Coturnix japonica: one gene and its partner. The protein of the gene in region 2 interacts with the protein of the main gene of each other region in a biochemical or structural test. Links are inferred from orthologs where the notes say so. Each region holds a gene or a part of one and is shown on either strand. Other genes may lie near its edges.

The links.
Region 1: of the proteins of COIL (region 2) and VRK1, one has a biochemical effect on the other in vitro, tested with the Homo sapiens proteins (2 studies listed by BioGRID and IntAct, with this or other methods). The link is inferred for Coturnix japonica from reciprocal best matches to the Homo sapiens genes COIL and VRK1.

What each region holds. Positions count from the first base shown.
Region 1 is NC_029520.1:42,296,145-42,299,957, reverse strand, and holds part of VRK1 (serine/threonine-protein kinase VRK1), read right to left. Parts: intron 3,642-3,813; exon of another isoform or gene 3,557-3,641; intron 1,340-3,556; 5' UTR 1,335-1,339; coding exon 1,178-1,334; intron 1-1,177. UniProt on the Homo sapiens protein: Serine/threonine kinase involved in the regulation of key cellular processes including the cell cycle, nuclear condensation, transcription regulation, and DNA damage response.
Region 2 is NC_029533.1:7,746,783-7,751,035, forward strand, and holds the start of COIL (coilin), read left to right. Parts: upstream 1-1,270; 5' UTR 1,271-1,307; coding exon 1,308-1,558; intron 1,559-2,106; coding exon 2,107-3,202; intron 3,203-3,996; coding exon 3,997-4,083; intron 4,084-4,253. Other genes in the region: SCPEP1 (retinoid-inducible serine carboxypeptidase), read right to left, coding at 565-689, 1,143-1,251. UniProt on the Homo sapiens protein: Component of nuclear coiled bodies, also known as Cajal bodies or CBs, which are involved in the modification and assembly of nucleoplasmic snRNPs.

The DNA of each region.
Region 1 (3,813 bases), on a different chromosome or scaffold from region 2:
GCATCAAGGTCAAAACAACATTCTCTCTAATTTTTTGTCATGTTACATATCCAGAAGTGACTGTAGGCACAAAGATGTTGATAGTTGTCACAAAAGGAGAAAGAAGTATAAAAGACATTAAATTAGGCAAGTACCAAACGCAGAAGGAATCAAGACTACAGTTTTGTGTAGATCATAATTAAGCAAATACTGGGCAGGCTTTGGCTTGAACAGTTCAGGCACTGTGTATACAAGGGAATGAGTAACTTGAGTGACTTTAACTCCAGTCTCTATGAATTAAATAGCTCAATGAGCAAGGCAAAATAAGCAGAAGGTTTCTTTAGAAAAAAACAAAACACCTACTAGTCCTGTTTTATCTCTTAATCCACTTAAGCTACATTCTGTTCACCCAGAAGCTAAGAAAAGTAATAATGTACCTTGTTTTTAAATTAGTATGAATCGAGTGCAATCTTATCATGAAGAAAAAAGATGAAGAAAGGAGAAAGACTGTTAACTGGATCACCTTACATTTTATCCCTTCACAATTGTTCAGAAAATGACTAAGAGGAAAACAAGGTTTTTTGATTCCCTGAGTTATCCTTGAGAACTCTATTCATCTGTTCAAAAAACAGATATACTAATTATGGAACACTCTCATCAAAAGTTTACACTGAATTCAATAAACAACATTGTAAAACAGGGTGTTCTGATGCCTTAAACAGTAAGGTCCAACGCTACAATCTGTTCCAAACACTGAGTACATGATAAAGTACCCAACTCACATCAGAAGTTCACAATGCAGTGAAGAAGTCAGTATCAACAGAAGTCAAAAACGGCCAAATTGCTATCAGTAGCCTCCACAGAATGTGCTTAGGAGGTTTCACTTCACAAGCTAAGTACGCTCACAGAAGTATCCCTTCTTCTAGTCTGAACAAAACTTCGCTTAAAACAAATGTTCAATTATCTTTTCACTGCTGTAAAAAAAAATACTATTGGAACCTGGTAAAACTCAGTGTTTACAATGACCATTCCCCACTCCTGTTGTTTTTTTTTCCCAGAGCATGAGTTAAGCCATGGTTCTAGCCAAAAACCTAAGTTGAAGATACTCTGGGTTTCTAACTTAGGGACAATTATTCATTGTTTTGAACAAGCACAAACATCTCACTTTGAACTAATACCAACAGATGAACAGACTTACCAAGATATAGGCGCCCAAAGCCTCCTTGCCCTATAGGAACACCTAATTTCCATTCTTTTCTTGATGTGTCTGTTAGAACCTCCCCCGAAGCAAACACTTCAGCAAGTTTCCTTTTCGTGGGGGCCTTTTTTCCAGCTGTCTTCTTAATATATGGCATCTTTGCTGCAGAGGGAGAAGAGGAATGAAGGGAAAGAGAAATAGAGAAAAGCAAGAATTATGTGCTGACAAGAATTATTTTCATGGTATTTCGTGTGACAGTGCTTTATGCTTGCTTTCGCTTCTGATAGCTTCCTATGTAGATTGTTTAATTTGTTACTGTGAAGATACTTTAAAAGAAATACAGTAAGTATTTTCCTTGGCATAAATTCAAAACAAAAACAACAAATTTCTTCAGGCTTCAGAAAAAAAAGAAATCTGAAAGCAAAAATGTTCACCTGAGAAAGTTATTAGGAGACTCTGTATAACACACAGCAGAAAAATCTCAGAATCTGTTATACTAAATTCATCACAACTGACTGTAATTCTGAGCTTAGAAAAAAAGCAAACTAACGAAACAAAGCTCATCAGTTTTCCAGGAGCTTAATTTGCTTTGCAAAAAAAATGTCAGATAATCCAAGTTTCCAGTAATAATAGGGACAGGTATTAACGTTTACACCACAACAAACAAACAAACCAGTAATATCTACATTTCTCACAGATTCCTTCTATCTGTATGAAAATATCAGAAAAAATAGTGATTCAAACTGTTAATTGTATTTTTCTCCTGCGTAACTGCAAGCAACAGGAGTGAATCTATTTATCATTCACAGGACAGGACTTAATAGATCACCAAAATCTACACCTAACTACATGTCTGGAGACTACAGATGTAAAATAAACGTTGTCGCAACTTTCCAACCTCAGGTTCCAGATAAGCAGCATTTCTAGAAGTAACACAACAGCTCACTGGAACAAACGTCACTGTAAGCAAACACATGTTTGGGCTCCTTCACAAGCTGGCCAGTCAGCACAGGAATGAAGTGAAAAGGTATATGATTCTAGACCAAAGAGATGTCTTGCTTTTTCTGGTTCCTTTTTAATCTGAGAATTTTCTCTCTGTCATAGAGCCACACCTGAATACCTACATGGATGAAACGAGTAACTGCAACAAAGCACTATTATCAAACATCAGCATCACTGGAAGAGACGGGTACTTAATGATACCTTAATTGCACTTGCATCCTCATCATAGGATGTTTTAATTCAGCATCACTTCCCCATATTTCATTTTACTTAGATACATTACCATTCTTCCCTATAGTCAAGATACAACTTAGACATTCTACACTTAAAATTTAGGACTAACTTTGCTCATAATTTTACCCATATCCTCTCGTCTTTATCTTATTGTTTCCACTTAAAATGGGATATATACTGTACTGCCTTAGAGGAAGAGTCCTCCTCCAGCTATTCTGTAGATCCAAGCATCAGATGCAAGTTCAGCTAAGACCAGGGAAGTGGAAAAGTGATGAAGTCAAAGCATCAGAAGAAATAGAGGTAGGAATGGCTGTGGCCATTCCATTATACTGTTCAATAAGGCAAGCAGCTTAGCAGTACATCCAGATCAGGAAGGAAAAGACATTATCAGAAAGCACTGAGTAGAGCCAATAAAAGAGGTAACGGGATAATAAAAATATTTGGAACCACCCTTGGACTGACACAGGTAAGGAAAAATCAGCACTTACCCAATGGACTCAGATACGCATAAAGATTGTGATCACTGACATATTCTACAGGGTACAAAAAAAGCCATACCAGGGGAGAAAATAGGCATCATGACAACAATTTGAGAGATATGAAGGGGACGTAAAGAGGAGTGGAAAGACTGCAACATGACCTCAGAGTTACTGTAAATAATTCCAGAGAGAATTGGATAGGTGGAATTCAGGTCCCTGAACGCTGGACAGTACAGTAAAAGCAAAATTCACAGCATCTCCTTCAATAAAGCTAGCAAGCCAGCCAAACAAATGTATTGATACATTTAGTATCCTTGACTTCCACAGCAATTCTACTGATAGCAGATTCCCTTTAAAGAGATTTAAGTTTACTTGAAATAGCTTCACAAAAGTATTAAGGAAGGAGCTGGCATTTCTCTTTTTGGTTATTGTTGTCATTCAATGCAGTCAGTAATTATAAGCCTGAAGGTATTTAGTTAAAAATAAATAAATAAATTAACAATGACTTCCCTTTACCCATAAAAACAAAAATTAAAAATGGACATAAGTTTGAGCATCCCCAGCTGGGATCCCTGCCCTTAACAAATACACTAGATACACATACATGGTTTCTTGGCTGTCTATATTCATATCCATCTGTTAGGATGGCAGTGAGCCTACTTACAAGTTGGTCAAACTATCGGTAGGCCAGAGGTGCCAAACGCTGATCGCTTTCAATGGGCAGCATCCACAAGTCTACGCAAGCGCTCCTTTACAAAAAATAAAGCTGTTATCCATTGAAATATTTAGGCAATGACCACACATTTATTTGGATAAATCAACTCAAAGGCATTCTACTGATTGAAAGCTGAAAGACCTTTAGAGAGCAAAATCTTCCTACGTTAAAAGTACAAAACTGAAAAACAAAATAGATAGCAAAAG
Region 2 (4,253 bases):
GGGAGACAGGAGCAGAACAAAACAGCACAGTAAGCACAATTTCATAGGGGAAGTCAAAGTGCCCTTTGCACTCCTCAGTAACTTGCAGAGAAGGCTCTGTTCCTCACTGTCTTTCACTATGAGCTGGGTGCCGTATGAGAACTTTTACCCCAATTCCTTTAATCCCAAGTACAAAAATTAGCCAAAACACAGAAGTCTGTGAGTCACTGGGTTATTTTTCTTAGCCAGCATTTACAGAACACACATTTTACCCCTTGATAACACAGAAGGGAAAGGACCAAGTCAGCAAGTGATCACATCTAATGTTCATTTCTGAAACACAGTCCTGGAGGTGAATGCAGAGCACACAGGGATGGCTGCTATCAGCTGTGACTGAATGGGACCAGTCACGGTGACAGTCAGTTTCTCTCTGTTGTTCCCTTACAGAACTTACTGTACTTCTCTGCCTGCTCTGCCCACCCCCACAGGCTGCAGGTGCCACAGAATCACACAGCACAGGAGCTCATCACAGCCACCAGCAGCGTCTGCTCCTGCACCGTGACTGGGGGATGTAATTCCACTCACCTGCAGCCACAGGACGAGCGGCAGTTCGTTGTACCCCGCACTGTAGTACAGCCACCAGAAAAGATGCGCCTTGCTGCGGACCTGCACGTACCCCCACAGCTCCCGGGGGGGCTCCAGAGCCGCTCCTGTGGGCAGAAAGACCGTCAGTGGGGGAAACACCAGGAGCCCCACCGAACCCGGCTCAGAACATCGCGTTTCAGCCTTGGGTGTGATAATTAGAAGGGCTTCAATTAAGAAACTACCACAAGGAGCCCGGCTGTAGATATACACACACCCACAGCTGACTGACCGGCCACCAACGAACCAAGAGCGGCGGGGAACGAAGCGCGGAGCTCATCGGCCGGCACCGCCCCGCCTCGGGACGGGCCATAGGACCGCGCTAAGGCCGCCCCGCTCCGCAGGGCACCGCGAGGAGACGGAACACGGGGGTTGGAGCTACATGATCCTTGAGGTCCCTTCCAACCCGGGTAATTCTGTGATTCTGTGATTCTGAGACACGAGAGGACAGCGGGGATCGCCCCGCTCAGCCCCGAAGCGCTGCCCACACACTGCAAGGGGTGCCCGGACACGGCCCGTACCTGCCACCAGAGCCGCGATCAGCGCCATCCCCGCAGCAGCCCGCCCCGCTGCCATCCCCACAGCAGTTCTCCCGCAGCTCCAGTCCCGCCCCTCTCTCTCTCTCTCCATCCCGCCCCTTTTGTCCCCCTCAGGCCGCCGTCCCTCCTCCCCTCCCTGCCCCCAACATGGCGGCTGCTGTCGGTTCCCCGCTCCGGCTGCGGCTGCAGTTCGATTTCCCGCCGCCGGGCAGCCCTGGCTGCGCGCTGTGCTGGCTGCTGCTGGAGCCGGGTCAGGCGCGGCTGGTCACCGACCTGCTCAGCATCATCCGGCACCGATTCGGCTTCAGCCGCCGGGCCCGGCTCAGCCTGTTCTTGGACGGGGCGCTGCTGCCGCCCACTGAGAGCGCCCGGCTCGTGCGGGACAACGATGCGCTGCGGTACGACGGGATGGGAGATTTTGGAAAGGGTCCAGAGGAGGGACAGGAAGATGATCAGGGGGCTGGAGCACCTCCCCTATGAGGACAGGCTGAGGGAGTTGGGTTTGTTCAGCCTGGAGAAGAGAAGGTTGCGGGGTGACCTCATTGCAGCCTTTCAATACCTGAAGGGAACTTACTCCCAGGAGGGGAGTAAACTCTTCGAAAGGGCTGACAATAGCAGGACACGGGGAAATGGTTTTAAGTTAAAAGAGGGAAGATTTAGGTTGGATGTTAGGGGGAAGTTCTTCACTAGGAGAGTGGTGAGGCACTGGCACAGGTTGCCCAGTGAGCTGTGGGTGCCCCATCCTTGGAGATGCTCAAGGCCAGGTTGGACGGAGCCCTGGGCAACCTGATCTAGTAAAGGTGTATGTTTGGTGGCCCTGCCAGGCAGGGGGTTGGAACTACATGATCCTTGAGGTCCCTTCCAACCCGGGTCATTCTGTGTGATATGGGGGCGGTGTGAGCGCAGTGTGAGCGCGGCTGGATGCTGTTTGTTTGTGTCTCTTTAGGGTGACGCTGGAGGAGATCACGGAGGAGCGGTGCGAAGAGACGGATGGAGAGTGCCGGGCACAGAAAGGTGATAAAACAAGGCACAAACGGCGGCAGAAGGAGCGAGAGGAGGAAAAACATCAGAGGGAAAAGAGGAAGGAGAAACGTGAACCAGAGTGTTCGTCCGGCAGAGAGGACAGCGCCGGGGATGGATCCGACACCAGGAAGAAATCCAAGAAGAGAAAGAGAAGGGAAGAGAACAGCGGGATGGTTCCAGAGGGGAAGAAGGGCAGAGCCCCGAGGCTGCAGAAGGCACCGGCAGCCAAAGCAAAAGATGGGCAGCAGGCAGTGCTACCTGTGTCAAAGGCGGCCCATAAACGGGTGGGCAGCGCTGCTCTGACCCCCAGTAATCGGACACTGGAGGCCCAGAAGCAGAGGGTGGGAACGTCGGAGTCCTCCAGCACATCGTCCGACAGTGACAGCGCTGAATCAAACGTAAAGCAAAGTAAATCCTCACACAGACCTGCAGCAATGGTGCTTCCCAGAGACAAAGCACAACCTGCAGTGACTGCTGCTGCTTGTAAGCAAATGTCGAATGCTAAACGTGGCAGTAAGGATGCAGGTAGTAAAAACGCTAAGAAACCGCAGTCCTCCAGTTCAGATTCGGACTCAAGTTCCGAGGATGAAGGAGCAGCACCAGCACAAGGCAGAACTGCAGAGCAGGCGCTGCCCAACAGCACAGCAGTGGCACAGACTGGGGCCATTGGGGCTCCCAAAGCCGGGAGCTCTGAGTCTGAGTCCGACAGTTCCGATTCAGAAACACTCGTCATTAAAAAACCTGCAGCCAATGCTGGACTGAGTAATTCCATAGCAAGAAACGGCTCCAAACAGTCACCAGCAGGAGTCCAAGGGCTGGCTGCTGGGCTGGGGCGTGGGAGGGGGCGTGCAGCGGGAGCGGGGAACTTCTGGAGAGGACCGAGGGGCCGCGGGTTCCGGGGGATGGCGAGGGGCTGGGGCAGAGGAGAAAGCACGGGCTTCTTCTATAGCTACAGCAGTGAAGGCCAGAAACAGAGGCAGCTGGATGAAGCTGTGACAAACACCCCTGTTCCTGTCCAGGTGAGTGACTTACGCAGTCATTGACCAGCTCTCTGTCACAGCCTTAACTGTATAATTAAGTACAGCGTGAGGGTAATTTGGAAAAGCTGAAGAAAGGTAAGTAGGGTAAAGGCTGATAGATCTGAACACGGTACATTTGATGTTTGCAGTATATGTCCTGCAGAAGAACTTATGAAACAATAAGTGATTGTATTGGTGGAATAATTGCTATGGGCAACTTGGAATGAAGGCACAGCGCTGTTCATAGCAGAGTGCAGCTGAGATGCTGATCCGCCAGCAGGTGGCACTGGAGGTGGAGTGGAGGGAGACTGCAGCCAGGTTCTGTGATCCACAGCAGCTCCCTGAGCAACCACAGTAGTGGTGTTGGCAGCATCTGGAGGACTGCTGTTAGTGGCTGTAATTGCAGTGCTGGGATGGATGGAAACTTGGTGGTACTAAGCTGCAGATGTGCTACCCTGGGTGGGCAGCCTGTCATTCTTAGACAAAATGCCGTCCTTTGGGTGAACTTTGCTCATTATGCACTCGTTATAATACCAAAGCACACCTCCATCCCCAAAGATGCCCACCCCAAGGAACAACTGCCCTCACTGAGCACTGCTCTGAATTCTTTAGCCTGTACCTTTAAAACCTCTTCCCCCCCCCCCAGGTGAGATTCACACACTTGGTTACACTGAGAGCTTTTATGGGAAACTCATAAATCTCAGTGGAGTTGTTTGTGACCCAGCACACGTGTGCCAGGTTGTTATTCTCAGCTCTTTGCAGACTGAATTTATCAGCAGCTCTTTGTTTTGCAGAATGCTGTGGATGTCCCCAAGAGAGACTACAGCGTTCTACCACTTCTAGCTGCCCCACCACAAGTGGGACAAAGAATTGCCTTTAAGGTAAGGATCTTTGGAAGTACTGAACGTCAGTAGGTCAGCGCTGTTTCACTTGGGCCCTGTAAGTTTTGCAGGGAACCATACACAGTCCTGCCAGCCAAAAGCCTGTATCAATAGGTACACTTCCAAATAAAATGATTTTTTTTTTTAAAGAAGCAAAGAAAACTGAAATA